Arabidopsis thaliana: one gene and its partners. The protein of the gene in region 4 interacts with the protein of the main gene of each other region in a biochemical or structural test. Each region holds a gene or a part of one and is shown on either strand. Other genes may lie near its edges. The genes, in order: CLV1, BAM1, BAM2 and CLV3.

What was found.
Region 1: the proteins of CLV3 (region 4) and CLV1 interact in a test that uses a peptide from one of them, tested with the Arabidopsis thaliana proteins (3 studies listed by BioGRID, with this or other methods).
Region 2: the proteins of CLV3 (region 4) and BAM1 interact in a test that uses a peptide from one of them, tested with the Arabidopsis thaliana proteins (one study listed by BioGRID).
Region 3: the proteins of CLV3 (region 4) and BAM2 interact in a test that uses a peptide from one of them, tested with the Arabidopsis thaliana proteins (one study listed by BioGRID).

What each region holds. Positions count from the first base shown.
Region 1 is NC_003070.9:28,461,402-28,470,192, reverse strand, and holds CLV1 (Leucine-rich receptor-like protein kinase family protein), read left to right. Parts: upstream 1-3,221; 5' UTR 3,222-3,540; coding exon 3,541-6,130; intron 6,131-6,209; coding exon 6,210-6,562; 3' UTR 6,563-6,849; downstream 6,850-8,791. Other genes in the region: AT1G75810 (uncharacterized protein), read right to left, coding at 8,069-8,446.
Region 2 is NC_003076.8:26,278,931-26,287,800, forward strand, and holds BAM1 (Leucine-rich receptor-like protein kinase family protein), read left to right. Parts: upstream 1-2,780; 5' UTR 2,781-2,895; coding exon 2,896-5,494; intron 5,495-5,602; coding exon 5,603-6,015; 3' UTR 6,016-6,035; exon of another isoform or gene 6,036-6,161; 3' UTR 6,162-6,483; downstream 6,484-8,870. UniProt on the Arabidopsis thaliana protein: Necessary for male gametophyte development, as well as ovule specification and function. Involved in cell-cell communication process required during early anther development, and regulating cell division and differentiation to organize cell layers.
Region 3 is NC_003074.8:18,413,967-18,422,602, forward strand, and holds BAM2 (Leucine-rich receptor-like protein kinase family protein), read left to right. Parts: upstream 1-3,601; 5' UTR 3,602-3,774; coding exon 3,775-6,361; intron 6,362-6,448; coding exon 6,449-6,870; 3' UTR 6,871-7,297; downstream 7,298-8,636. Other genes in the region: WDR5a (Transducin/WD40 repeat-like superfamily protein), read left to right, coding at 1-389, 970-1,257. UniProt on the Arabidopsis thaliana protein: Necessary for male gametophyte development, as well as ovule specification and function. Involved in cell-cell communication process required during early anther development, and regulating cell division and differentiation to organize cell layers.
Region 4 is NC_003071.7:11,662,868-11,668,668, reverse strand, and holds CLV3 (CLAVATA3), read left to right. Parts: upstream 1-2,871; 5' UTR 2,872-2,924; coding exon 2,925-2,991; exon of another isoform or gene 2,992-3,037; coding exon of another isoform or gene 3,038-3,092; coding exon 3,093-3,139; exon of another isoform or gene 3,140-3,198; coding exon of another isoform or gene 3,199-3,306; coding exon 3,307-3,483; 3' UTR 3,484-3,691; downstream 3,692-5,801. UniProt on the Arabidopsis thaliana protein: Extracellular signal that regulates meristem maintenance.

The DNA of each region.
Region 1 (8,791 bases), on a different chromosome or scaffold from region 4:
AATTCCATATCTTGTTCTCTCAAGTCCAATGCATTTATCCTTGCACGCTTGATTGTTTAAACCATTTAGATTAATGGGTTGGCATTGGTCACGCTGATCCAATGTTTCAAATGGGTAAGTGAATGTTGATTGCCGACGTGACTGAAGACCCAAGGCCCAACGACCTACTGGTCCAGGTTGACTATGAACAAAAGAACTAGATTTTTTTTTCCCCTACATTTTAAAGAAAATACTTGATGAAGATGTGGTGCCTTTTCATAAGATCTAAAAAGTTTCAAATCTTTACGATGGAACAAAAAGTGAAAGGTGAAGTAAGGGTCATTTGGGATTGAGAAGTTTCTTCGTCCAAAATCATTGCATGAGTTGAATAGATTTGGGATTAAAGCTGCCAATACAAGAGGATTCGGTAATGACTGAAGCAAAAGCCCAGCAGGGCCATTAGGCAAACACCAGTTTCCAAGACGGATTTGTGTAAGACCACTTATGACACAAGTTTGTCTTCACTATCATCATCTTCTTCTTCTACTTCTACTACTACTTTTGTAGCCTTGTCGTTTTTATCATTAACATGATTGACAAGACTATGACCTATATATCTTATTATTATCATTGCTCTCTCTATTTGTTTATATTGATTATTACTTTTTGAGATTTTTCAATGGTTTTATCTCTAACTAAACATTATAATTAGTGAAACAAGCTTAGTAGAAGTAAAAGTATTATTCTATGCTAAAGTACATTGATTAGTAGAGTGTGTAATTGTGTATACAGATAATCTATAAACAATTGGTGCATCTGTATATAAAACTTTATGATTTATTTATTGTATTTAATAAGTATATGAATTGGGTACCTAACTTTCTAAACAGTTCCAAATTTATTCTTAAATCAAATTGCATATGATTTTTAAATATTTTGAGACGATTTTATTATAACGCAAACAACAGAGTAAAAGAAGCATATGTTGCAAATTGTACTATGGCAAGTTCAAATCGAAACATTTTTGTGAAAATCAAACATGTGAACCAAGCTTCTACAGTTTAATTCCCTTTCGTATAATTTAATTTCAACAAATTTATTGATATCCATCTAGAAATTGGTCCAAAGTTCTTTCACCCTTGAGTCATTTAGTGATAAAGATGACATGATTTTTGGTGATAAATTTTCCATCGTTGCTATATGTCGTTATATTATTCTCCTATATGTATATTATACTATTTACATCAGAAAATAATCCAAAGTTTAGAGATTCTTTTTTACAATAATAAAATTTCCCACTTACTAAAAAGAGCTCCTTTTCTGCTGAAGAGAACCTAAACCTTTATTCCCAAAGTTCATTGAGTTAGAGCATTTTCAGCGAATCACATAAGAGATGCTCTCTTCTTCATCACTAATTGACATCTCATTGTTTTAAAGGTTGCACTTGTACCTGTTGATCTGATTCTCAATCCACTTAAGTTAAACCAAATAGACACGAGAAAAAAGCACATTTATTTGTTGCTAAGTATGCATATTTTTCAGCGTTTACTTCTTAATCTAATGTATATCATAAGATAATATCTAAAAGAGAATGCACAAAAGATTATTAATATGAGAAATTCGCTGCCATTTAGGAAGGACCTTTATACCAATATACCGCAATAATAATAGAACATTGGTCCCCAAGTGTATGTCAACCCCAAGTGTATAGATTTCTTTAAAGATTAAAATCCCTTTTTGTTGCTAAAGCACCTGATATATTTTTCTATCAAACTAAAAAAATTGTTAGCGGGATGAAGATATATTCGCCAAGAACCATAGTGCTTGTATAACGGCAGACCATTAATTCACAACTATTATTATTTTATTGTTAGATTGTTGATAGAATCGATTTTGATTGTGGCAGAATCGATCTTGTAAAAACTGCTTTAAGGTGCTTACTTATAATTAAGAAAGATTCACTTATGTAAGTTAAGCATATTAATCATATCATTCGGCCTAATTCATTAGGAATATTTTGCTATTCGTTTTGCCATCATTAACAACAAAATTGACACGTTTTCAGCCAAAAGTATTAACAACTAAACCTAAAACTTCAAACATTAAATAGTTTTTAGTATCTTTAGTTTCAAACTAGTGATTTGTCCTAATATCAACACTACGAACGAATTTATATACATTGAACTTTTTTCTGAATCACCGATTACAAAACGAATATAATTTGGTATCGGCAGTTGCTATTAATTTGATCGGTTTGGACTTTGGACTAATCACGATCAAATCTTAAATGGACCGAAGTGAATAAATCCCTAATGTTTTCAAGAGAGTCACACGAACGAAACAAAGGTAAAATATGAACATAGAGCGTGGGGACCTTGAAGCAGAAGGTCTGTATGGTGACAGACCGGTGAGTGGAGTGTATGAATGAACGAGAAGTGAGAAGACAAAATACAAGAAAGAGCGTTGACTTGGAAGTTAAAGCCAAAAAAACCACAAGGGGCAAATTTGTCTCTTTAGGAAAAGGACACAGACAGACTTTCTATACGGGCCAATTAGAAAAATAGGCCCTACTTCTAATTAAAGCCCATTTACTTCTCTCCTTGTCTTCTTATTCCTCTTTTCTCCCCATCACGTGACGACGATGCTATAAACGCCGTCGGATTATATAACTGGTGCCGTTGACAAGACGGCGACAGAAGAAAGAAAGAAGAAACCACAGGCTCTAGGGAACGTAACGTTATGTCCTGTCTATAGCATTTATAACGGTCAGATCAACGCCGTTTAGATAAAGATCTGTCAATGTTAAAGAAGAGATGCATCTCTACACCGTTAAATTTAAAACGCCGTGAACCTCTTATCTATTGATTTTTGTTTGATGAAGCCAAAACAAATCGTGTCAGAAGACTTATCAGAGAAGAAGAAAACGACGACGTTCCCGTTTCTCCATGTCTAATAAGTGTAGTAGTGGCGGCTACTAAAAACTCTAAAGTTTGACTCCAGTAAAACTGCCTTTCTAGTGTAATTCCAGTGATTTTAGAGTTTGAATAGTGTGTGACCAAATTTGAAAGTACAATCTCAGCAATATTATTGATCACTCGTTATAAAAGAATCGAATGTAAAAATAGCCAATGAGAGACTGAGACGTATGTGTTTGACCATAAGTCGTATAGTTTGTATCTATCTACCTGCAAGATCAGCAGATGGTTCTCTGATCAATTGTACCTTAATTATCTTTTATTTTCGTAAAATTTCTCTATTCACAAATGATAAATCTACTTAAGACAGTAACCATAACAAGATTTACAAGATAATTTGAAAAATGAACACATAAAAGTATTTTGGCGCATTATTTTTAATAATAACAATATTTATGTAAAGTCACATAAAAGTATATATTCGCTCACAAAGTCTTACGGTATTTAGAACAGTAGTACCACATCGATTCTCTTCATCTTCTTCTTCATAATATGCCATTGTTCATGTCTCTGTGTCCTATCGCATAACACTCACGCTATCTTATTATTTTCTCTCGCTCTTTCTCACTGAGAGGACACTAAAAAAATGGCGATGAGACTTTTGAAGACTCATCTTCTGTTTCTGCATCTGTATCTATTTTTCTCACCATGTTTCGCTTACACTGACATGGAAGTTCTTCTCAATCTCAAATCCTCCATGATTGGTCCTAAAGGACACGGTCTCCACGACTGGATTCACTCATCTTCTCCGGATGCTCACTGTTCTTTCTCCGGCGTCTCATGTGACGACGATGCTCGTGTTATCTCTCTCAACGTCTCCTTCACTCCTTTGTTTGGTACAATCTCACCAGAGATTGGGATGTTGACTCATTTGGTGAATCTAACTTTAGCTGCCAACAACTTCACCGGTGAATTACCATTGGAGATGAAGAGTCTAACTTCTCTCAAGGTTTTGAATATCTCCAACAATGGTAACCTTACTGGAACATTCCCTGGAGAGATTTTAAAAGCTATGGTTGATCTTGAAGTTCTTGACACTTATAACAACAATTTCAACGGTAAGTTACCACCGGAGATGTCAGAGCTTAAGAAGCTTAAATACCTCTCTTTCGGTGGAAATTTCTTCAGCGGAGAGATTCCAGAGAGTTATGGAGATATTCAAAGCTTAGAGTATCTTGGTCTCAACGGAGCTGGACTCTCCGGTAAATCTCCGGCGTTTCTTTCCCGCCTCAAGAACTTAAGAGAAATGTATATTGGCTACTACAACAGCTACACCGGTGGTGTTCCACCGGAGTTCGGTGGTTTAACAAAGCTTGAGATCCTCGACATGGCGAGCTGTACACTCACCGGAGAGATTCCGACGAGTTTAAGTAACCTGAAACATCTACATACTCTGTTTCTTCACATCAACAACTTAACCGGTCATATACCACCGGAGCTTTCCGGTTTAGTCAGCTTGAAATCTCTCGATTTATCAATCAATCAGTTAACCGGAGAAATCCCTCAAAGCTTCATCAATCTCGGAAACATTACTCTAATCAATCTCTTCAGAAACAATCTCTACGGACAAATACCAGAGGCCATCGGAGAATTACCAAAACTCGAAGTCTTCGAAGTATGGGAGAACAATTTCACGTTACAATTACCGGCGAATCTTGGCCGGAACGGGAATCTAATAAAGCTTGATGTCTCTGATAATCATCTCACCGGACTTATCCCCAAGGACTTATGCAGAGGTGAGAAATTAGAGATGTTAATTCTCTCTAACAACTTCTTCTTTGGTCCAATTCCAGAAGAGCTTGGTAAATGCAAATCCTTAACCAAAATCAGAATCGTTAAGAATCTTCTCAACGGCACTGTTCCGGCGGGGCTTTTCAATCTACCGTTAGTTACGATTATCGAACTCACTGATAATTTCTTCTCCGGTGAACTTCCGGTAACGATGTCCGGCGATGTTCTCGATCAGATTTACCTCTCTAACAACTGGTTTTCCGGCGAGATTCCACCTGCGATTGGTAATTTCCCCAATCTACAGACTCTATTCTTAGATCGGAACCGATTTCGCGGCAACATTCCGAGAGAAATCTTCGAATTGAAGCATTTATCGAGGATCAACACAAGTGCGAACAACATCACCGGCGGTATTCCAGATTCAATCTCTCGCTGCTCAACTTTAATCTCCGTCGATCTCAGCCGTAACCGAATCAACGGAGAAATCCCTAAAGGGATCAACAACGTGAAAAACTTAGGAACTCTAAATATCTCCGGTAATCAATTAACCGGTTCAATCCCTACCGGAATCGGAAACATGACGAGTTTAACAACTCTCGATCTCTCTTTCAACGATCTCTCCGGTAGAGTACCACTCGGTGGTCAATTCTTGGTGTTCAACGAAACTTCCTTCGCCGGAAACACTTACCTCTGTCTCCCTCACCGTGTCTCTTGTCCAACACGGCCAGGACAAACCTCCGATCACAATCACACGGCGTTGTTCTCACCGTCAAGGATCGTAATCACGGTTATCGCAGCGATCACCGGTTTGATCCTAATCAGTGTAGCGATTCGTCAGATGAATAAGAAGAAGAACCAGAAATCTCTCGCCTGGAAACTAACCGCCTTCCAGAAACTAGATTTCAAATCTGAAGACGTTCTCGAGTGTCTTAAAGAAGAGAACATAATCGGTAAAGGCGGAGCTGGAATTGTCTACCGTGGATCAATGCCAAACAACGTAGACGTCGCGATTAAACGACTCGTTGGCCGTGGGACCGGGAGGAGCGATCATGGATTCACGGCGGAGATTCAAACTTTGGGGAGAATCCGCCACCGTCACATAGTGAGACTTCTTGGTTACGTAGCGAACAAGGATACGAATCTCCTTCTTTATGAGTACATGCCTAATGGAAGCCTTGGAGAGCTTTTGCATGGATCTAAAGGTGGTCATCTTCAATGGGAGACGAGACATAGAGTAGCCGTGGAAGCTGCAAAGGGCTTGTGTTATCTTCACCATGATTGTTCACCATTGATCTTGCATAGAGATGTTAAGTCCAATAACATTCTTTTGGACTCTGATTTTGAAGCCCATGTTGCTGATTTTGGGCTTGCTAAGTTCTTAGTTGATGGTGCTGCTTCTGAGTGTATGTCTTCAATTGCTGGCTCTTATGGATACATCGCCCCAGGTTAGTTACATGTCAACAACATTAGTACTCACCAAAATGATATATGTTCTGATTATCATTTTGTTTTTGGTTTGCATAGAGTATGCATATACCTTGAAAGTGGACGAGAAGAGTGATGTGTATAGTTTCGGAGTGGTTTTGTTGGAGTTAATAGCTGGGAAGAAACCTGTTGGTGAATTTGGAGAAGGAGTGGATATAGTTAGGTGGGTGAGGAACACGGAAGAGGAGATAACTCAGCCATCGGATGCTGCTATTGTTGTTGCGATTGTTGACCCGAGGTTGACTGGTTACCCGTTGACAAGTGTGATTCATGTGTTCAAGATCGCAATGATGTGTGTGGAGGAAGAAGCCGCGGCAAGGCCTACGATGAGGGAAGTTGTGCACATGCTCACTAACCCTCCTAAATCCGTGGCGAACTTGATCGCGTTCTGACCCAAGCAAGATAAATATGAAAATAAGATGCGAAATGTGGTGATCATTTTTTGGGTGTTCTTATTTATGGTTTCTAATACTTTCGGGTTTGTATATTTGTTGTGTTTCAATTTGTATATTACCTCTTTATGTGTTATTATCTCGAGTATGTAATGTAATCAATATGCTTATTGCTTGATGGCTTTAAACTTTAGCTAATTCTCCGTTCAGAGTGTATAAAATAAAAGAATGTGAGAGCTTTGACCTCTGGATTTAAGTCTAGACTGTTTAGAATATGTGAATTAGGGTCATATCTAAATTCAGGTTTGTGTTAGCTTCCGACAGTGTCATGTTGCAATCTTGACCTTACTTACAAAGTATTTACCAGCAGATGGCTCGGAAAATAAAAAGGAAACACATCTGATAAAAAAAAACACGGAATCAACAGACTAATGGTTGATTAAGAGATTGGACTCGTACTCTGCATTTGGAATAATGACCAGTTTCATTGAGTTCTTGGGGGTCATTCACTTCTCATATTTTTACGAGCTAAGAAAATCACCTCAGGGTCATAACATTGTAGTTTCTGCTCTTGAAGCAAAACACACATAAACTAAGAAACCGGAAAAATTCACAGAAATCAACAACCAAGAAGCTTTAAAAGTTCATGAACAACAGAATTCAACCTCTATAATGTGCATTTTCCCACAAGATGAGGATGATGCTGTGAAGCTAATTCTATCCATAACTCTTACCTCCATTCATAGAGCAATTCAGAGAAGAAGACAAGGCACATAGTCACAACTTATAAACGGGTGTGAGAAGAAGACAAGGCAAATTAGTCACAAATTCATTAAGGTAGAGAAACAAGATCCTTCATTACTCTGTTTTAGTCTCTTCATTAAGAATCATATACAATTTAAATCACAAAACTTTCAAGGCCACAATCTTGATTAACTTGGAAAGACCTGAGTTTCATTCAGATTTAAACAACACTGCAGCTCTCAAAATTCAAAATCGATTGTATAAAGAAAACAAGAACATCTATCATCATCATAATCACTATCCGATTTTACAACATATCAATACAAACAAAAACCTCCCAGCTTACACGAAGAAGAACATCATTACCTTATTCCTTAACTCCGAACACATGTTATTTAGATTACTCTGTTTTAGTCTCTTCATTAAGAATCCCCCAAAATTCTCAATGCCACAATCCTCATTCAGTGGTAAGACTCGAGTATCAACATTCAAATTTGGATAACAGTGCAGCTCTTAAATTCAAAATCCATTTTTACTTTTAAAAACAAGAACATCATATCTATAATCATCACAATCACTATCCGATTTTACAACATATCAATACAAACAAAAACCTTCCAACTTACAAGAAGAAGAACACCATTACCTTATTCCTCATCATCATCTATTACACAGAAAATCTATGAGAAACGTATATATCTAACACATGTTATCTACTTCACAAAAGTCAAAATAAAGAGGGAAAATTCGAAGTTTATATACTCAGAAAGCACCGTAAGGTATATGTTGTGGAAGCCTAAATCGAACCTGTGAAGCCGGAGACCGAACCGCAACGCCGTGCCAGCAAATCCCTCCTTTACAAATCGCACCACCGTCGTGATGGTGACGGTGGTGGCTAAGATCTTCCTCACCACCAACACGATTGTACCGAGAAACCGCCTCCGCTGCTCTACGAGACACATCCCAAGCAAGCGTAACTGCAAGCAAAACACCAACTGCCGTAATCGAAACGACGACGACGAATCCAGCGCTGAAACTCCTCCCGGTGATTAATCCGTAGGCTTTAATCGCGATAATCACCGCCACGTAGATCGTCGCGAGATTCCCGAGAACCGCGTCGGATAACGCCATGAGACACATCTAGGACTTTACTTCTTCTTCACCGTCGCCGTGAAATTCGTTGCGGTGGAGGAAGCTTTTTAACAGAAAAAGTGGAGAAAAGCGAAATTGTGGTGGATGTTGAAATACTCAAAAAGACGTCATCCTTGTCAACGAAGGGAAGGATATTTTGAAATTACTAAAACACCCTTGACAAGATCTTTTGCTTCCTCTCTATGGCTCATCACTAATGCGAGAAGAGTTTGGTAAAAGTACCCTTCCCGTAAAACGTCACCGTTTCGGGATTTGGTCAGACTTGCCACGCACTACATTTATGGGTGTATGACATTCTCACGCATGTCGTTGTCAAGGTCCTCAAAGTCCTCA
Region 2 (8,870 bases), on a different chromosome or scaffold from region 4:
TTTAAAAAGTGATCATACATAGTAAGAGTAACTCGTAGAGAGAGATAAGTTATGGGAACTGACTGTATCAAATTAGTTGGACCATGTTTTATGTCCGTGATGGTCGGACTCAGAAACAGAGTGGTGATGTGAAGATGACATGTTTATGGTCCCATTTTCACTTTTATTGGGTCGTGTTTCACCTTTCAAATGAACCACTAGAAAATTGAAGCAACTTTTTTTTTTCAAACCAAAGGAAAAAAGATGACTTTGTTAAGACCTTTGTCTTGGTTTTTTTTGCTTCATCAAGCGTCGCTTTCGCAACATGTTCTCTCTATTATTACATGATTTCAAAACAAGCAAAACATATCACTGCCTAATTCTTAACTTTGTGCTTCAGTCTTTCCATAAATAATAGTTAACTTTCAAATTCCTAAATGTACTAAAATCAACTATGGTTGTTGAGCTTTATTATTCTTCCGTTTAATCTTGGTTCGAAAGAAAAAAGATATGGTATAATCATTCCATTCATATACGTATTACTAATCATAGTTATCTTTTTGGTGAGTAAAGAGATTTGAATCAAGATTGTGTGTTGGTAATAAGAATCCTTATAGAGATGTGCATTTAAGGAGACAGAAAGGAACACAGCACGAGACGATGCGGTTAGAGAATAAACAAAACAAAAAGAAACTTGGTAATGGATACAACGTGATTCCATCGTTAAACAACTTTGCTTTTGGCTTTGGATTCTTCTCTATTTTAACTCTTAACCCAATGTTATCTCATTATCCTTCATCTCAATCTATTTTTCTATTTACTTAAATTTGAGTTTTCAAGACACTTTTTAAAAAAATGAAAAAGGGTTAGAAATAGAGAAGAGAGTAAGAAAGAAGTGTAAAATCAAATAAACGAATCTCATTAAGCACCTACTTCCCACATCTTTCTTAAAGTTTCTTACATAAAGCTCCCTTCACACGTGCTTACCAAATCAGATTGTCAATAATTCTTGCTCAATAATTTTTCGAAATTTATTTGAATTTATCTAATAAAAATACATTGTTTGAGTATGATATTTTGCTTAAGAAGGTTGATTATTCTCCCTATCAAAGTCTAAAAAGAAGATTACAAAACAATTGTATGGTTAAATTCATATAAATTTGTGACTAGTATTTTAATATTTACATATATACAAATACTTATAGATGAAACGAGAATGCAGAAATGATTATAGATAGATCAGTGACAGTGAACTGTAGCAACCGGCAAAGAAACCTCGTTAGCTGGACACACGATTACGATCATGCCCCCAGTCTCCTCTGTCCAGACGGCTGCATTAATAACAACGAGCTAGAGGGTGTTTTCGTCTTTTCGATACTTATCCCAAAACCGACAATCTCTGGTTTGGACTCGAAGGCTGATTTGGTCAATTCATAGCAACCGAACGAGCAGTCCATTCAAGTCCAAAGAGCTCCTTAGTGGTAAAAGATGTAATTACGTAGATGTTCCATGGTCAAGAATGTATTCAGTCAAAATAAATATTTGACCAAAACTTTCGGTTAATTTCCTACCACCAGCAAAATTATAACTTTTTCTAATAATTATCAATCATTTTCAATCTCTTTTAATTTTCTTTTTCACTTTTTTTTATTAATTAAAGTCAATTCACACTATACAAAAAGAAGGAAGTCTAAATATTTTTTTACTTTCATGTTGCTTTTCTAACTTTTATATTTTGCTCTTCTCAACAGATTTTGCTGGTTTTTGTATTAGAAATATTATTATGTTTCCAGAAATGAATTTTTTATATGTCGTCTGGATTCGTATATATATATTGGAAAGTGAAATTAATTCATTTGATTTTTTTCTTTGATATATCGACCAAATCAAATAAATACGACCCCATTGTGGCATTGTTAATGCAAAAAGGCACAAGTACAAAAAAAACATAATAATTCACTATTTTATTTACAGACACATGGGCCCAATTCATACGGCCCAATTACCATAAACCTCTCTTTTAAAGAGTGGGTTCCACAGTGGTAAACTTTTTGACTATCCATTGGAATGATTGCATCTGGACCGTTCATCTACATTAATTATTGGGTTTTTTCGCTTTAAAGCATCAATTAACTTATTACGTATAGGATTAGATTACCAATAACGATCTTTTTAGCTTTTGTCGTTTTCCGATAAAACCATACGATTAAGAATATGACCTCTTGTATCTTTTGAGGGATTTTAGTTAATCTTTCTACATTTATTTTGTTGGATGCTCATACAATTATCCTGTGTCTCTCAAAATAAAACAAAAATTACTCTATTTATTAGTACATTACACATGATTATTTAGAAAATGTATATTGTGGTCATATGAAATGAGAAATTAAAGGAAATTTGTCAATACTTGAGAACATCACCATTCAAATGTTTCAAGAACAACATGACTCCAAAACAAAATAAATGAACCTTTCCCTAATAATAGTATATTCTCCATCGTACAAAGTTCTAAATAATACAATATTCATTTCGTCAAAGCATATGATGTGTTGGAATCAGAATTATCTGCAAATGTTTGAATTTCAAATGTTAGTATCAGGCTATTTTTACTGTTTTATCAAATATCGTTTCTTCTGCAATCTATCACTTGATTGTTTTATCAAATCAGCACTAGTATTATTGATTTTGTAATTTGTGTTTGTCTACCTCCAATTACTTTTTAGTGTTATGATTAGTAATGTAATAAAATCACAAATCTGACGTGGCACCTATATACAATTCCAAAAACAAGTGGAACGAATATAAAACAAATTCACACCTTCCTCATCTTCTTCTTCGTCTTCACTTACCTTCTCTCTACACTCACACCATCTCACAACCCTAATCTCTCCCACACAAGAGAGATAGAGAGAAACAATGAAACTTTTTCTTCTCCTTCTTTTTCTTCTCCACATTTCTCATACCTTCACCGCAAGCCGACCAATCTCCGAGTTCCGTGCTCTCCTCTCACTCAAAACCTCTCTCACCGGCGCCGGAGATGACAAAAACTCGCCTCTCTCTTCCTGGAAAGTCTCAACAAGCTTCTGTACATGGATTGGTGTCACGTGCGATGTATCTCGCCGTCACGTGACTTCTCTTGATCTCTCCGGTCTCAACCTCTCCGGTACTCTTTCCCCAGATGTTTCTCATTTACGTCTTCTTCAGAATCTATCACTCGCTGAAAATCTAATCTCCGGTCCGATTCCGCCGGAAATCTCGAGCCTTTCCGGTCTTCGTCACTTAAATCTCTCGAACAATGTCTTCAACGGTTCGTTTCCCGATGAGATTTCTTCTGGATTGGTGAATCTCCGAGTTCTTGATGTCTACAACAACAATCTAACCGGAGATTTACCGGTTTCCGTCACCAATCTGACTCAGCTCCGGCACCTTCACCTCGGTGGTAACTACTTCGCTGGAAAGATCCCGCCTTCGTACGGAAGCTGGCCAGTTATTGAGTATCTAGCGGTTTCCGGCAACGAGCTTGTCGGGAAAATCCCTCCAGAGATCGGAAACCTAACGACTCTCCGGGAGCTTTACATCGGCTACTACAACGCTTTCGAAGACGGTCTTCCTCCAGAGATCGGAAATCTATCGGAGCTAGTCAGATTCGACGGAGCTAATTGCGGATTAACCGGTGAGATTCCGCCGGAGATTGGGAAGCTTCAGAAACTCGATACGCTTTTCTTGCAAGTGAATGTCTTCTCCGGTCCATTAACTTGGGAGCTAGGAACGCTATCGAGTTTAAAATCAATGGATTTGTCTAACAACATGTTCACCGGAGAGATTCCAGCGAGTTTCGCAGAGTTGAAGAATCTCACGCTTTTGAATCTCTTCCGTAACAAACTTCACGGCGAGATACCGGAGTTCATCGGAGATTTGCCGGAGCTTGAAGTGTTACAGCTTTGGGAGAACAATTTCACCGGAAGCATCCCGCAGAAATTAGGAGAAAACGGTAAACTAAATCTCGTCGATCTCTCTTCCAATAAGCTGACCGGAACTTTACCGCCGAACATGTGCTCCGGTAACAAGTTAGAAACTTTAATCACTCTTGGAAACTTTCTCTTTGGTTCAATCCCTGATTCTCTTGGTAAATGTGAGTCTTTGACCCGGATCCGAATGGGTGAGAATTTCCTGAACGGGTCAATCCCAAAAGGACTATTCGGATTACCCAAATTAACTCAAGTGGAGCTCCAAGATAATTATCTCTCCGGAGAGTTACCAGTCGCCGGAGGTGTCTCTGTTAATCTTGGTCAGATCAGTTTATCAAACAACCAGCTCTCAGGTCCATTACCTCCGGCGATCGGGAACTTCACCGGCGTTCAGAAACTTCTTCTTGATGGAAACAAGTTCCAAGGTCCTATTCCTTCAGAGGTAGGGAAGCTTCAGCAGCTCTCGAAGATTGATTTCAGCCACAACTTGTTCTCCGGTCGAATCGCGCCGGAGATTAGTCGTTGCAAGCTCTTAACGTTTGTTGATCTGAGCAGAAACGAGCTCTCCGGTGAAATCCCAAATGAGATCACTGCTATGAAGATATTGAATTACTTGAACCTGTCGAGAAACCATCTGGTTGGATCAATCCCTGGTTCAATCTCGTCAATGCAGAGCTTAACATCTCTTGATTTCTCTTACAACAACCTCTCCGGTTTAGTTCCGGGAACAGGACAATTCAGTTACTTCAACTACACATCGTTCTTGGGTAATCCTGATCTCTGTGGTCCTTATCTTGGTCCTTGTAAAGACGGTGTTGCTAAAGGAGGTCACCAGAGTCATAGTAAAGGACCTTTATCAGCTTCTATGAAGTTATTGCTTGTTCTTGGACTACTTGTTTGTTCGATTGCGTTCGCGGTAGTAGCCATAATCAAAGCTAGATCATTGAAAAAGGCGAGTGAGTCACGGGCTTGGAGGTTAACAGCTTTCCAGAGACTAGACTTCACGTGTGACGATGTCTTGGATTCTCTCAAAGAAGACAACATTATAGGCAAAGGAGGAGCTGGTATTGTCTATAAAGGCGTAATGCCTAATGGTGATCTAGTCGCGGTTAAAAGACTCGCTGCAATGTCTCGTGGATCTTCCCATGATCACGGCTTCAACGCAGAGATTCAAACCTTAGGAAGGATAAGACACAGACACATAGTGAGGCTTCTCGGATTTTGCTCAAACCACGAGACGAATCTACTTGTCTATGAGTACATGCCTAATGGTAGTCTCGGTGAGGTGCTTCACGGTAAGAAAGGAGGACACTTGCATTGGGACACACGTTACAAGATTGCTCTTGAAGCTGCTAAAGGACTCTGTTACCTTCATCACGATTGTTCTCCATTGATCGTTCACAGAGATGTCAAATCAAACAACATCCTCCTTGATTCAAACTTTGAAGCTCATGTTGCTGACTTTGGTCTCGCTAAATTCCTTCAAGATTCCGGTACTTCTGAATGTATGTCTGCAATCGCTGGCTCTTACGGCTACATAGCTCCAGGTACTAAAATCTTCAAAAAAAGTTTCTAACTTTACAATCTCTTGCTCTGTTTTTCTCTTTAAAGTTTCTAACTTTACTATCTTTTGCTCTGTTTTGGTGTTTGTGTAGAGTATGCGTATACGTTGAAGGTAGATGAGAAGAGCGATGTGTATAGTTTCGGTGTGGTTCTTTTGGAACTCGTCACCGGAAGAAAACCTGTCGGAGAATTTGGAGACGGTGTCGATATAGTGCAATGGGTTCGTAAAATGACTGATTCGAACAAGGATTCGGTTCTGAAAGTATTGGATCCGAGACTTTCTTCGATTCCGATTCATGAAGTGACGCACGTCTTCTATGTAGCGATGCTCTGTGTAGAAGAACAAGCTGTTGAGAGGCCGACTATGAGAGAAGTTGTTCAGATTCTCACTGAGATCCCGAAGTTGCCACCGTCGAAGGATCAGCCGATGACGGAATCAGCGCCGGAGAGTGAGCTTTCGCCGAAGTCTGGTGTTCAAAGTCCGCCGGATCTACTCAATCTATGAGAGTTTTCTGATTCACGGCGGTTAATTTAGGGTACCGGTATAAGGGGTAAATTTGTCTTTTCATAAATGTTATTAGCGATGAGATTTGGTTGTTAATTTACTTTAATCCCTCTTAGTACGGTTTGTGCTTTGGTCCGGTTTAGTAGGTTTTTTTTTGAAAGAAGGTTGTTTAAACTCTTTTTAAGTGTGTTTCATTTTCCTTTTTTATGTTTTTAATCGGTATTCGGCTTTATTTAGTTTGTAATTTGTGTTAATGAAAATGTACAGTTGGTTTTTTTTTGAAGGAATTTCAAAATATCTTGAAAAGAGTGAAATGTGTAATGTGAACACTCTTGCATGTCTTGCTATAGAGTCACGCATCTGCAACTGATATGAACGATCACCTTCTTTATTGTTTTTAGGTATTTGACTTTGTTACAAAGATTCAAATGTAGCTACTAACACCTGCAATAACCTGAAAGAAATTTCATCAAACAGAAATTATATTTGATCTCCATCAACAAGATGTTTGAGAGCGGTTAAAGTTGTGGTTGCGTTTGCGTTTGGTGAAAATGTTAACTTGGAAGAATAATTAAAGAGGAAGCATGTGAGAGGTCAAAGGTATAAATGTGGTGGGGAGATAATGATTGGTTTTGAGTTAATATGAGAAGCCTATAAGGTGATATTTCTCCCACATGCAAAATATATACCAAAGTCTTTAAGTCTTTAATGATTTTGATGAGATCTCTTCTCTATTCCCTGCTCATGAAGCAATTTCTACTCTATGTAAAGCATTTATGATTTCATCGATCACTCATAAATATAAGCCACACCCAACTTACATTAATATGGTTTTCATTTGGCTGTACGTAGTTTCCAATGATGATTGTAGATCTAAGTCTAGGTTTTAATGAGAAAATTGGACCAAACAAACAAAATTGTAGCTATCTTCGTGTTTGTTCACATTTTGGAGATAACAGCCTAACTAGATCATGGGCTAAGTGTTAGCTTTGATAGGGATTCTCACGTAACTCTATGATAACATATTGCACTAAAATGTGATTTAGTTCACTCACTAAGTTAGTGACATTTCCAAAAAGTGTCATCCACTTAGCAAATTCCGTTGCTATGTTTATGATTCTTTCATTACTATACTCCAAGCAAGAATTTGACGAGTGATACTGCAATTTTATCTTTTTCATAAACGTAACGTTTATTTCACAAACAAACAAAAAGTGTTTTTGTAATTTCCTTGATGCACACATCAATTGCGTGTGTGTTCACGATTTCATCACATATACAACAACTATTTTCCATTTCACTGTGCGTCCATGGGATATTCATGTTCGATGGATCATAAAGGTAAAAGACTCAGGAAAAACAATAGTTAATGTCATTTCATATCAGCTTTATATTCTCACATTATGCGTAATTTCCGGACAAAAGAAAGCTATTAATTAGAAACTTTTTTTATCTCAAAGAATTTTCGTCTGTGACAACTCATAAGCACTGAAAATTAGACTACTCCAATTTTCTAACTCAATTTACTCTGTGTCTATGCTATAGACCTATCAGTTATGTAGCACATATAAATATCAATCCAAACATTTTAATTGGTAAGTTTTAGGGGTGAAAATGCCACGTGGAATTTATGATTGTGATGTGACAGAGACACGTAGAAAGAAGAAGGAGTGCACTGTGTTTTGAATGGGTCCGTTTTGTCTTTATCTTGGCCTTCATTGTTTTCCCCGACATAGTTATGTCCCATCCCTCGTAGTTGCTAAAGAGAATCCTTACACCAAGGTAAATTACAATAACAAAATTTAGAAATTTAAATTTATCAATTGATCTGATATGTGAAATGCAGTTTGTATACATTTGGTATTAGCCGCTCAATTTTCTTAAAAGATTTCAGAATTTAGTGTAGGTGATTAGGTATAATTAGTTGCTGGTCATCATAAGAAGAAAAACACAAAAACCCTAATTAATATTCGTACCTGCTATCACTAACACTATATAATATACGAAAGTGTCTAGCTAATTATGTAAGATGATTATAGTGGCTCTACCTTTTACTATGATTCACGTACTAGTGACTTGTGTTGGCCCAAATCTTACTCATTCCGTTTAAATTTTATAGTGTTTACATATATATATGTAATGGAGTTGGAATGCTCTTGGGGACATCAAGAATGACCGTTTGTTTATCCGTGACATATGACTGAACTAAGTAAAATAAAGGACGTAAATAGTTAGTATATGAATTTGATTCATGGATGAACGTCCGTGACATATGAGACCGTCGTATGTCAAGAAAATGTGTGTGAGAAAATTATATGTCATATACGATGATATCGTAACGTGGTGCTAGCTAGGTAGAGATTCGCTTTGTTTCGTAAATGCTCATCGACGTAAACAAAATCACTTTTGAGTTTTATAGTTTCACGAGTAATGATGTACTTGTATATTATGATGATTGCAGTACTCTTTTTTTCTTAAAGAAGAAAGCAGGAGATGATTGTAAATTTGTAAATGTATATTCTTGTAACCAGAGAATTATCATCAGAGATTAATAATGGTTAAATTTAGAAAGTAATAATAGTGAGGTGACACTGAAAGGACAAAAAGAAGAAGAGACAATTGGTTAAGTGCCACTTTTTCTATTTGTTGACATACATTTTTGAAAATCAAACGTGACAAATATTTCCAAATGCTTCTGATCCTTTTGAATTTTAAGCACATAGCTCTTTTAAAAATAATTAAATTACAATTAGCTGTAAAGTTCACTTGCCTCATTATTTACAAGATAGAGAAATATTATAATGTTTTGCATGATCAAACCTTCTTACTATATTTTACCAGGCATGATCTAATTT
Region 3 (8,636 bases), on a different chromosome or scaffold from region 4:
AAACCTTAAAGCTATGGGACGTTGAAACTGGTTCATTGATCAAGACGCTTATTGGACACACTAATTACGCCTTCTGTGTCAATTTCAATCCTCAATCAAATATGATTGTATCTGGTTCGTTTGATGAAACTGTTCGGATCTGGGATGTCACTACTGGAAAGTGTTTGAAAGTTCTTCCCGCGCATTCTGATCCTGTTACTGCTGTTGATTTTAATAGAGATGGGTCTCTCATTGTTTCGAGTAGCTATGATGGGTTGTGTCGTATATGGGATTCTGGGACTGGTCATTGTGTGAAAACTCTGATTGATGATGAGAATCCTCCTGTTTCGTTTGTTAGATTCTCTCCTAATGGCAAGTTTATCCTCGTTGGTACACTTGATAACACGCTGGTGAGTTCACTTGTTGAATTCCTTTCAAAGATTTGATGTTTTTAGTGTGATTACTAGTTTTGCTCTATAGTGATCTCGAAAAAAAGCATGAAGATTTTGGGTAGAGTGTGTTAGTAGAAGTTTGATGTAGGAGAAGCCAATTCAAAACTAAGTTTACAGAGAAGTTGTTAGCTTTAAGTATAGTTCTGTTGTTGGTTGATATTCAAGAGTTTCGAAGGGTCGTATCTAGAGGGTTGTAGCTTCGAAGATACATCGTCGTTTGGAGTTTGATTAATTTGCATTAGGAAATTAAATTCTTATGATTCGTTATTAATGCACTCATCTCTCCATGAACTTAGATTCTAGGTTGTGTGTTAATAGAAGTTTGATGTAGGAGAAGCCAATCCAAAGCTATTTTTGCAAAAATTGTTATCTAGTTAAGGAAAAGTTGATAGCTTTGGAACAGTTCTGTTATTGATCGAGATTCAACACTTTTGAAGGGTCGTATTTAGAGGGTTGTAAGATACATCTTCTTTTGGTGTTTGCGTCTATAGGGTATTGTTGAATAAAGGAATTCTCATGATTCGTTATAAATTTGCAGAGGTTGTGGAACATTTCGTCTGCTAAGTTCCTCAAAACATACACTGGCCACGTGAACGCACAGTATTGCATTTCCTCTGCGTTCTCCGTCACAAATGGAAAGCGAATAGTCAGTGGATCCGAGGACAACTGTGTACACATGTGGGAGCTAAACTCCAAGAAACTGCTACAGAAACTTGAGGGTCATACTGAGACCGTCATGAACGTAGCATGCCACCCGACAGAGAACTTGATCGCATCAGGCTCGCTCGACAAGACAGTAAGGATTTGGACACAGAAGAAAGAATAAATCATCACTCTCTCTCTTCAGAAATCAAACATGTAGGTACATGCCACCTTCTTCATGCAGTAATCATCTGTTGCTTACTAAGCTTGTTAGATTGATTCTAGCCTCATTATGTAAAAGTCTAATTTTTGTTTGGTGTAAGGGAAGTGCAACAGACTGTTCTAAACTTGTAATAGTTCTCTGTGTGACTCAGAACTATTTAGGTAGGTCTTAAGGCAAAGACTCCTGCAAGTGCAAAGGCATTTGAGAGAATGAACACAAATCTTCATAGGTTTACCCTTTACTCATTGTATCTATTAAGCTGATGCAATGCTTCACCAATACTATTGGTTATAAAGTAGTTTCAGGATTGAAAATTGTTCATCTGAACCATATTGATGGGTGGCTCATGGGTCAAAGTACAGATATATGACTATAAGTAGATAATGTATGGTAGTTGGTTACTTTGGTTGGCCATGATGATGAAGCTTATGGTCCCCTGGTCCTGTCCCATTTTTTACTTTTCATTTTCACTTTTATCGTAAAGTCTTCTTTTTTTTAAACCCTACAAGATTTTGAAATGGACCACTTGAAAATTTGAACCCACTCTCTCTTTTTTTGTTTTCAATTTCGAAACCAAAATTTTTTAACAAAAAGATGACTTTGTGACCTTTGTTCTGTCTTTTAGCTACACACCAGTGGGCTGTTTGCTTTTACAGCGTGTCTTTCTGTTTACATGATTCAAGAGAAAGCAACAGTTCCTAAAGACTCAGTCATGTTTGTGTCTCTCCCAATTGATACAAAGACCAAAATTCAGCTTTGGTTCTTTTGTGTAAAAGTTCTCGAGATATGCTAATAAGATTAAACATAAAAACTCTCAAAAAGAGTATAAATTGAATTCTTTATGATTGTAGTAGCAAACAATAATTGTTAGGTTTAGTGCTATCATAATAATCTATTAGTCAGGTTAAATATATTCGATTTGGTACCAAATACGAAATCAAGCTTCAACAAACGAATCTGCAATACACACACACCCATCCAAAAGTATATCTTCGACATTTTCCCCAAAAAAGTATACATTTCCTAACACGTGCTTACCAATTCTTATCATTCGAAGTAAACCATTAAACAAGAAATGTTTTCATTATTATAAATTTTTCACTAATATAAGTTTATTATTTAGTGCAAGAAAGTGCGTTGCAGATGAAAACTTATTCTATTGATCCGGGTCCATAAAGAAGAAAACAAAAATTCACCTAATACGAGTACGACTTATTCTAGTGGCTACATATTTCCCTAATCATGTGACTAAAAATCTGCTTTCAAAATTTTGACATTCAGTATTTCTTTAGATCTATATCATTAAAAATTCATTTTTTTCTTTTGCATTTTGATTCCATATTTAATACAAGATTAAAAAAAAAAAAACTAATATGTTTGTTCACTGAGCAAACCATTATTGTTGATCAGTGAACTGTGGTAACTGGCAAAAGAAGCAAATGATTCGAAATCCTACTTTCTTACAAAATCAAATTGGATAATTTTGTGAGATAATAAAAAATCAGTATAAATAAAATAAAATACATGTCGGGAAACCATTATTGTTGATCAGTGAACTGTGGTAACTGGCAAAAGATGAAAATGATGCACATAGGACTGTGTTTAACTGACTTACTTCCACTAATCAAAAGTACGATCGTATCCCTACCCATCTCTCGAGGATCTTAACTGTTGCCGTGCGTCATCTCAAGGTTGTTCTCGTCATTATCAGTCGATCAGAGTACAGAGACCGGCTCTCTGGGTTTTGTCGATCATGCCATTGCCTTGGGGCTTGTTGTTGTGGTCCGTCCTAAGGATAGAAATGTTATTACAAAGCTTTTTAAGGGGTTCTTTGGTTAATTAAGTGTTTCGTTTTGCTTAAGAGAGGTTAAAGAAGCGGGTGTCTCAATAAGTTTTGGTAAGTTTGTGAATCCCCAGTGGTGGACTCCATCTTTTCCCGTCGAATTATAACATCAGGACCGTTCATTTCAACATCATCAATTAATTCATTATGGGGTTTATCTTTAAAACATCTTTTTGAATTTATGGTTCGCTTTGGTATTGCATTATTACACTTGTATACCTGTGTAATAAAGTGTTGGATTTTGTCAAGATTAGGTAACATCACGTTTCAAAACAACAAGGCTCCAAATTAATTAACATTTTCTTCATGTAATTATCGTTTTTGAATCCCTTCCTTTCTAATTCCATGTTTCATTAAATCCACCACATGCATATGTTTCTATATATGTTAAATAAACGACTTTTCAAGTTTTTAATTTGTGTTTTCTATTTTCAGAAAATTTATGTGAAATCAAAGTTTCTTAAAAATCTCCCTCCAAGTAAATTCCAAAATAAAATAAAAATAATACTTTTACAATATACAAATAAAACTCATAAAAAACACACACACAATCTTCATCTTCCTCACTTACTCTCACCCTTTTTAAAACCAAACCCTAACTTACACAGAAAGAGAAGAAAAAAAACAAAAAAAAAATGAAGCTTCTTCTTCTCCTCCTCCTCCTCCTTCTCCTCCACATTTCTCATTCCTTCACCGTCGCTAAACCAATCACCGAGCTCCACGCTCTTCTCTCACTCAAATCCTCCTTCACCATCGACGAACACTCACCTCTCCTGACCTCATGGAACCTTTCAACAACTTTCTGTTCATGGACCGGTGTCACGTGCGACGTCTCTCTCCGTCACGTGACCTCTCTCGACCTCTCAGGTCTTAACCTCTCCGGAACTCTCTCCTCCGACGTAGCTCATTTACCTCTGCTACAGAATCTATCACTCGCTGCTAATCAGATCTCAGGTCCTATTCCGCCGCAAATCTCCAATCTCTATGAGCTTCGTCACCTCAATCTCTCCAATAATGTCTTCAACGGTTCATTTCCCGATGAACTCTCCTCTGGATTGGTGAATCTCCGTGTTCTTGACTTATACAACAACAATTTAACCGGAGATTTACCGGTTTCACTCACTAATCTCACTCAGCTCCGTCATCTTCACCTCGGTGGGAATTACTTCTCCGGCAAAATCCCGGCGACGTACGGAACCTGGCCTGTTCTCGAATACTTAGCGGTTTCCGGTAACGAGCTAACCGGTAAAATCCCTCCGGAGATCGGAAACCTAACGACTCTTCGTGAACTTTACATCGGATATTACAACGCTTTTGAAAATGGTCTTCCACCGGAGATTGGAAATTTATCAGAGCTTGTTCGGTTCGACGCTGCTAATTGTGGTTTAACCGGAGAGATTCCACCGGAGATTGGGAAGCTTCAGAAGCTAGATACGTTGTTTCTTCAAGTAAACGCATTTACAGGGACAATAACTCAAGAGCTGGGATTGATTTCAAGCTTGAAATCGATGGATCTGTCTAACAATATGTTTACCGGCGAGATTCCGACGAGTTTTTCACAGCTGAAGAACTTAACGCTTTTGAATCTCTTCAGGAATAAGCTCTACGGTGCTATACCTGAGTTCATCGGTGAAATGCCGGAGCTTGAAGTGTTGCAGCTTTGGGAGAACAATTTCACTGGTAGTATTCCTCAGAAATTGGGGGAAAATGGTAGATTAGTGATTCTTGATCTCTCTTCGAACAAACTCACCGGAACTCTGCCGCCGAATATGTGTTCTGGTAACCGGTTAATGACGTTAATCACTCTTGGCAACTTCTTGTTTGGTTCAATACCGGATTCGCTTGGTAAATGTGAGTCTCTGACCCGGATCCGGATGGGTGAGAATTTCCTTAACGGGTCGATTCCAAAGGAGCTCTTCGGGTTACCTAAATTATCTCAAGTGGAGCTCCAAGACAATTACCTTACCGGAGAGTTGCCAATAAGCGGAGGAGGAGTCTCTGGTGACCTTGGTCAGATTAGTCTTTCTAATAACCAGCTCTCTGGTTCATTACCTGCAGCTATTGGAAACTTGTCCGGTGTTCAAAAACTACTTCTTGATGGTAACAAGTTCTCTGGTTCGATTCCTCCCGAGATTGGGAGGCTTCAGCAGCTATCTAAGTTGGATTTTAGCCACAATCTGTTCTCCGGTCGGATCGCACCGGAGATCAGTCGTTGTAAGCTGCTAACGTTTGTTGATCTTAGCCGTAATGAGCTCTCAGGTGATATTCCTAATGAACTCACAGGTATGAAGATCTTGAATTACTTGAATCTTTCAAGAAACCATCTCGTTGGTTCCATACCTGTGACGATAGCATCAATGCAGAGTTTGACATCGGTTGATTTCTCTTACAACAATCTCTCCGGTTTAGTTCCCAGCACTGGACAGTTTAGTTACTTCAATTACACATCGTTTGTGGGTAACTCTCATCTTTGTGGTCCGTATTTGGGTCCTTGCGGCAAAGGAACTCACCAGTCTCATGTCAAACCTTTATCTGCTACTACGAAACTGTTACTCGTCCTTGGATTGCTCTTTTGTTCGATGGTGTTTGCTATAGTGGCCATAATCAAAGCTCGGTCCTTGCGAAATGCGAGTGAAGCCAAGGCATGGAGATTGACTGCTTTCCAGAGGCTAGACTTCACTTGTGACGATGTCTTGGACTCTCTCAAGGAAGACAACATCATCGGTAAAGGCGGTGCTGGGATTGTCTACAAAGGCACTATGCCTAAAGGCGACCTAGTCGCGGTCAAACGATTGGCTACAATGTCCCATGGATCTTCCCACGATCACGGGTTCAACGCCGAGATTCAGACGCTAGGTAGAATCAGACACAGACACATCGTGAGACTGCTCGGTTTTTGCTCCAACCACGAAACGAATCTCCTTGTGTACGAGTACATGCCTAATGGTAGCCTTGGAGAGGTTCTTCATGGAAAGAAAGGAGGTCATTTACATTGGAACACACGTTATAAGATAGCTCTTGAAGCAGCCAAGGGTCTTTGCTATCTCCACCATGATTGTTCCCCGTTGATCGTCCATAGAGATGTTAAATCCAACAACATCCTCCTCGATTCCAACTTCGAAGCTCATGTCGCCGACTTTGGTCTCGCCAAGTTCCTCCAAGATTCCGGTACTTCTGAATGTATGTCCGCAATTGCCGGCTCCTACGGCTACATAGCTCCAGGTAACAAATTTGCAGAAAATGGCATTTAATCAAACACTTGGTGGTGAAATGTAAAATCTCTGAACTTGTTTGTTCCTTGTTGAGCAGAGTACGCGTATACATTGAAGGTAGATGAGAAGAGCGATGTGTATAGTTTCGGTGTTGTTCTTCTAGAACTCATCACCGGGAAAAAACCCGTCGGAGAATTTGGCGACGGCGTTGATATTGTTCAATGGGTGAGAAGCATGACGGATTCAAATAAAGATTGTGTGCTCAAAGTAATCGATCTTAGACTCTCTTCAGTTCCAGTTCACGAGGTAACACACGTCTTCTACGTTGCGTTGCTCTGCGTTGAAGAACAAGCGGTGGAGAGGCCGACGATGCGTGAAGTCGTTCAGATTCTCACTGAGATCCCAAAAATTCCTCTTTCGAAGCAGCAAGCGGCGGAATCAGACGTGACTGAGAAAGCTCCGGCGATTAATGAATCGTCGCCGGATTCAGGAAGTCCACCGGATCTTTTAAGTAATTAGACTTTCCGGCGATTGGGTTTGGTCATTGAGGGGCAAATTTGTCTTTCTAATTTTCTTGTCACCGACGTCTCGGTAGTGGAGTTAATTACTTAATTAGCCCGTTGTTGTCTGGTTCCGGTTAAGGCAACAATTAGTGGTTTAACTCTTAAGGTTGTTGCATTTCTTTTTTCACTGCTGCCACAATTATTCGTGTAGGAATTTTGAATATGTACATTGCGGTTGAATTTTGCATGATAAGTGGTTAATTTCAGGAAATCGAATTTCGAGAACATTATGGCTTATGCATATCAGCATATATATACATGCAGTTATGTATATGATCAATCTGCCCCCGGTTCAAGTATGTCAATTGTGTTAGACCAAAAAACACTTTTGCCCCTTATATTCTTAAGAACTTCATTTAGTTTCATACTCAAGCAAAAACTAATTTTTTAGAGTTTTCGTTGTCTTAAAATGAAACTAGTGTCTCCATTATGCTGGAATCTTGCTTATGAGTTGTTACATTACATATTTTATTCTCACCTTTGCTTTTACCCTTTTGGATTGTATCTGGTTGTGGTAGCTGTTGTGTCACAACAAGACATTCCATGTGAAAAAAACACAGAGAGGGTGAAACCAAGGTATGAATGTGTTTGTGTGGGACTGAAGATGAGTAACGCTGAGAAGAGAGAAAGTGAAAGCTCACTCACAATTTGTCCAATTATTGCAAATGTATGGGTAGTGTGACACTAGTGTCTTAATGAATTCAGATGGTCCTAAGATCTTTTTTCCACTCTATTCCCTTGTCTTGAAGCAAAAATCTAATTTTAGACGAAGCATTTATGACATCTCCCTCTCATTAATTACAAGCCATATATTCAACTTTGATTTTGACTCATCAATATCAAAAAATCTTTAGACTTTAGGTGTTGTTGCTATCCTTGGTATCTAGTACTTTCTTCGATAACCATGACTATTATATTGAGATAAGAAAGATATAAAGAACAATAAGAATATTAGTTATGATATTTTAGATGTATTATGTTCAAAATTTCTTACGTTCGAATGTACATTGATGATCTTGTAAACCTAATTAAGGAGTGCCTAACTCTAGAATTAATAAGTCAGGAGTTAGTTATCAAGAAACTAGAAAGACTTGAAGATGGATTAAAGTGGTAATTAATGTTTTTCAGAGGCCAAGATTCTAATTAAGAGATGGGAAATGGCATGTTCCATTCTCTAGCTTCATATATACACTTATCGGGTGAAACTACCAGATTACGAATAGCCATTAGATGACTAACAATTGAATTCAATTTAAATCATCCAAAGATATATTTTATATATTGAGATTCTTTCTTCATCTCAAACTTCTAAGTTCTAACATAGTCATGTAGTTGAACTTTCGGGCCGAGGCCCATAACAACTCCATCTACTTAAACGAAGGTTAGATAAAGGGACGAACAAAAAGAATCAGTCTGGTGTCAGAAACTAGAGTATGTACTTTTGTGTTTGAATTGTAACGTTTGTTTCTTTCTTCAGCTCTTCATTGGTTTATCGACACAGTACTTATGTCACTCCAATTGTGAGAAAATCATTCTGCACAGTCGTTTCGAAATCAAGGAAATCAAACAAGAGCAACAACAATCCAAAGAGTACCAAAATATATTTGGCTATAGAGAGCTATCATTGTCTTGTACACTTGTCCATGTTGGGCTATAGATCCATATTTGTGTTGGGCTAGGCTCAGTTTTTCTTAATAACACAAACTTACTTATCAAACACGT
Region 4 (5,801 bases):
GGAAAATAAACTCAGCTAAAATCTTATACTATCATACAAATTTTAGATTTCAAATAAAATATTTAAGTAGATTAGTTTGAGAAGAAAGTCAAATGGCTTATTTATAAGAACAAAAAAAATAGCTCGAAAAAATGATTAAATTTTTGCTTTGAATTGTGACGCTTGCTCCATCATATGTTTGTTAGCTCATTGCATTTGGCTATGCATTGATAAAAGTTCATGAAGATGTGAGATACTAAATTCTCGCTCGGTAATACATAAGCTTCAACTCTAGCTAGGGTTCGTTTACCATACAATTATGATAATCCTTCATTGGTATATCTTTTTCTTTTATTTACTTTTTTCATCCACAAACTACATTAACACTCTATATTCTCCTCCAAATATCAAAACTATTGATGCCAGTTTTTTCGAACACACTCATATGTTAGGTGCTTCAGTTTTAAAGTTTCTAATAACAAAACTCTTAGATGTGCATGTACATGTGGGAGAAATGAAAGTGTGCAAGTAATGGTGCTCATTATTGACGTGAAACTTGTCCTTAAATTTCAAAGAATTCTACGATTTTTTTTTGTATTTGTTGATCAATAAGATTTTTTTGGTTCCAACTCTATAAAATTCATTTACTATTACACTCGCATAAATTACGATGATATTATGAAATGTATTAAGACTCTAACAGTTTAACAGTTAACGACAAAAATATCTACTATTGTAAATTTAAATCTTTCTTTCCAACTAAATTGCATATTTTCGGTTCCGGTATAATGAAGGCCTAAAATCATAAGCTATATTAATCACATGGAAGAATTAAATAAAGAAACCTGATCGATATGGCAGTAGAAAGAAGTCAAAAGATTTGGATTTTGGATTGCAACTTTTTTCTTATTGGTTTATATAATTAACAAACTAGTTGATATATATTATATGCTGCAGAATCTTACCTCCTTTTTTACATAGTTTACACTTTTTGTGTGCAGCTCTCAACTCAAGTAGGTTAATTAGACATATAACCAATGAACGTAATAATATTTAAAACTTAGAATTGACCTTTATGAATTCATCAATCAGTCTCTTGTCGCTTAACGTTACACTCGTCTTTTCTGGTTACTACTCTCTTCCCTCTCATTGCATTTTCCAGGCTGTTTCATCTTTCTTTGACATCACTGTATCGGTAACGATTCGACGACATCAATAAATATATTGTTGGCCAACGAAAAATAGACATGAGTAATAATTTAATATAATACTTACCAGTAAGTTTACAATAATTTTGATTGTCTTCTGATCTAATAAATTGTTGGCCAAAAAAAGACCTAATAAATTCGTGGACTTGGAGTTGATGCAGATCTTTAGCAGTATGGTGGTGTTGAATTCAATCTTTTTGGTCCGAATGTCTTTAAAATTGTTCTTGATATTCATATCCATAAAATTAATCGAATTCCGGATTATCCATAATAAAAACAAAACTAGATACATTTTCTAAGTACATTAACACATAAGAATATCATTTTTGTACTACCAAAAAAAAAGTAAAAACTTATGTCCATGGTATTATTATAATTGGTGGTAAATCAGTAAATTAGTTGTTAGCAAAAAAATAAAATTTAGTTAAAAAGTAGTGGCACCTTATTGGCCCAAAAGAGTAACGAAGCAAAACGGAATCTGAAAACTGTTAAAACTTAAAAGAATAGATAATTGAGATATAATATCGTATGATCGGACGGCTGTGATCTGATGCCATCGGATGGGCACGTGTCAGAAGTGTACTCCAGGTATCATTCTCTCTGCCTCATGACATCAGCCGATGGTACCCTCGATACGGCGCCGGCAAGGCTCATATAATCCATTCAATTTATGTTTTTTCTGCTAGCAAATAGATTTGCCATTGATTTGATACTCTCAATAATATTATCCGATTAAGGTATCATCCATATTGTTCAATATAATTTAAGCATATAACTGTTTCCAGATTAAACAATATAATTTATAAGAGCAACTGTAATACTTTACTTTAAAAGTTTTCAAATCAGAATCTCTTTTCTTTTTCTACAAATCTGGAAACAATTTAATCCATATTGTTTTTGTTTTTTTTACCTTCTCATATTTAGATGCTATTTATTATTGTGACACAAGCTTAGTTTAATTTCTTGTTGGTTACATTTTTTTTTCTAAATACACAAATATTATATGTTTAATATTATTTCACACATTTCTTAGAAGAAATCTAAATACATGAAATTATATTTATTAAAAAGAAGTCTAAACTATATATGTATTTAAATGGAATTTTAAATATGGGTAGTAATATAGAAACACCATTGATATATTAGAGTATGTGCCGGTGCCGTATACATACTGTTGTATTATAGTAACCTATATATGGTATACCTAGTCAATGTGTACGGTATTTTTCATATGTATTAGTTGTGAACCTCCACAGCATGTTAGACTTAGGAATTAATTATAACTGAACCAGAACTTTGAGTCTAATTATACCCCTGCCGTTTTATACAACTTTGAATATTGATTCCAGTGGCTAATTTAAATAAGTTAAAGGAAACAAAAACTGCAAGTAAGTGAAAAATACACAATTGTAAGTAAATGTTAGATATTTAATTTATTTATAGCTAAATCATGAACAAGTTCGTATAAGATCTAGATATATGTACCATATACCTTTTCTATGCCCACTATATATACTTACTACACATAATATATAAACCAACCAAAATATTTGAATAGTTAATAACTATGATACACGTTTAGGACAAATAAAATTAAAAAATAGGAGATCCCATTTCTCGCCCTTGTAGGCTTACGCTATAAATTGGACTGTCCCCTTCTCATTTCATTACCAAAGTAAAGAACAGTTTCTATATTTCTCTCTTTATCTCTCTCACTCAGTCACTTTCTCTCTAAAAATGGATTCGAAGAGTTTTCTGCTACTACTACTACTCTTCTGCTTCTTGTTCCTTCATGATGCTTCTGGTCTCACTCTCTCTTTCACTCCTCTATATGTCTATAACTCATGTAAATGGATTCTTATAAGTCTCAACATAACTTTTTTTTGTTATTTACTATTTCACCAGATCTCACTCAAGCTCATGCTCACGTTCAAGGACTTTCCAACCGCAAGGTTATCTTCAACTTGTACTCATTAAGGCCTCTCAATATTCATGTGTTATGTTCATGTAGATGTCCGGTCCAGTTCAACAACTGTTTCATTGCTTTAGTTGTCACGAGAAATATTTGTATATATTATTATGGTGTGCAAAACATAGTAAAATGTTGTTCAATTGGCAGATGATGATGATGAAAATGGAAAGTGAATGGGTTGGAGCAAATGGAGAAGCAGAGAAGGCAAAGACGAAGGGTTTAGGACTACATGAAGAGTTAAGGACTGTTCCTTCGGGACCTGACCCGTTGCACCATCATGTGAACCCACCAAGACAGCCAAGAAACAACTTTCAGCTCCCTTGACCTAATCTCTTGTTGCTTTAAATTATTTCATATTGTAAATTACTTTCTGCTTTATCGGTTTTACCATTTCGGGAGTCTTTTTTGTGTGCAATCTGTTTCGTTTGGTAAGCTTGTAGTTTCATGAAAGTGAATGTAAGATATGCATTACGTTTGTTGCTGAAGTGAATGTAAGATACGCACTATTATATCTCATGATTTTCTAAGAAAACCCTCTTAAAACGAAGATGTCTATAGCATTACGTTTCTATTTCCATATAATACGTTAAAATTTATGGTTTTTACGTATAAAATGCAAAATAAAGACACAAGTATATCTCCAAAGCAATGTACCGTTGGGAAAATTTATTAGTACGTTTTCAATTGTCAATGCAAATAATTAATGGATGTGATAGTCACAATTAAACATACAATAATAAAAATGATGATGATGATTCGATGATGTGGTGGGAAGGATAAATTAAACCGACTTTGGGGCAGTGACAGGCAGTGTCAGTGTCAAAGACAACCATTTGTAGTCACTATTTCTATCGAAGGTTGCAAATTGAATGGTGGAGGAGTATCAAAACGACACACATACTTGAAAAGATATTTTAATAATATAAAAAAATTGGTGATGGCGTAATAACAAACCTAGAGCTAATTATTATCCTTAATGATACCAAATCTATATGATACGATATTTGTTTTAAAAAGAGTAAAGACTGACACTTGAGATGTGACACTGGCGATTTCGCTCACGTCACCACTTTTCCCACCTCAAATAACGCTTACGGCTTTATCCATTAATTCTAAGTATAATTTTAAGTGTATTTTTTCTTGCCAAATTCAAATATATCTTACTAAATGGATGAACATTATAAAATTGTTATCAAAACCATTAAATGTTCTTATAATTTCTTTCGTTCCTCCAATGTCATCCCAAGACTTTTTGACCTAATATATGATATATCTAACTTGCTTTGGAATCGTATGACATATATCTTCAAATACATATTTCGTATTTTTTTTTCACGAAAACTAATTTAGAAAGTAGAAAACCAGCTATTTTAAAGAAAATAAAGTGTGTTTATATATATTCTAAAACAATGCTATAAGAACATAAGACCAAGATATATACAATGTTATTTTATATTTATTATTAAGCATTAACATTGAAATTAAAAATATTAAACATGTATACCAAAGTAATCAACATTGTAGTTATTACTACTCTCTCTGTTCATTTTTGTTTGATTGTTTAGAAAAAACACACATATTAAGAAAACATATTAAATATTGATTATAAATGTATTATTTTTAATGTTTTACAGTTTTCTATAACTTTAAACCAATGATAATTAACTATTTTTTTAAAAAATTACCATTCACCTATACTAACCAATAAAGATTACATAGAAAACTAAAAAAATTAATCTTTTAAAAACAAATTTTTTTTCTAAACAATCAAACAAAAAGGAACAGAGGGGGAATATTATTTTAATTTAATTTAGATTACCATTGTAGTTAGTAATTGATCAGATAATATGGATAGGCTTAGGCATTCGAATTTTCTGGTTAGTTTACGTCGACTAATTAGGAGTTTTGGGTTTTTGGGTTGGGGGACCAAATGAATATCTTATTGGATCAGTACGATTCCTATTTGGGTTCAGACCTGTTATCAAAATTTATGTGAAACCCAACGTGGGACCAAAATATTTTTCAGTTCAGGTTTCAAATCCAAAGTACTAGGAAAAACAAATCCCAAAAAAGAACTCAAAATAATCATGTACTGTATATATAGTGTTTCGGGTTTTATGGGTATATATTTGGTTTTGGATTTTTTTGAGTATCTTCTCGGAATTTAGATTCTAACTTAACTAATCTGAGACCCAAAAAATAATAATTTATAATCCGTTTGGGTAATATACCTACCTGAAACCAAATGAACGCTCGGATTTTTGGGTTTCTTCTTTTATATCCAAGCCTAAATATGTGTATGAAATATAGGTAATTCGAATATATAAAATCAGTATCTGAATGACTAAGAATCAAATTCATGTTTGGTAATTTGTATACCTACATAGCTACATATAATATTTTAAATTTTACATTCTTGAGATTTAGTTTTTACATGATCCGCTTCGCCAAATATGTTTCCTCCATTCGAAACTAAAGTCTAATTAGTTTCTAAATGGCAAAAGTGGATCGAGTGAGATAGACAAAGTGGATCAGACGGTACAAATATAAATATATGCTCAAATACATATCAAACACTTTAGGTGGTTGAAAAATATGATGAATAGTGGTAACCTCTCGTATATATATTTGATATAAATCAT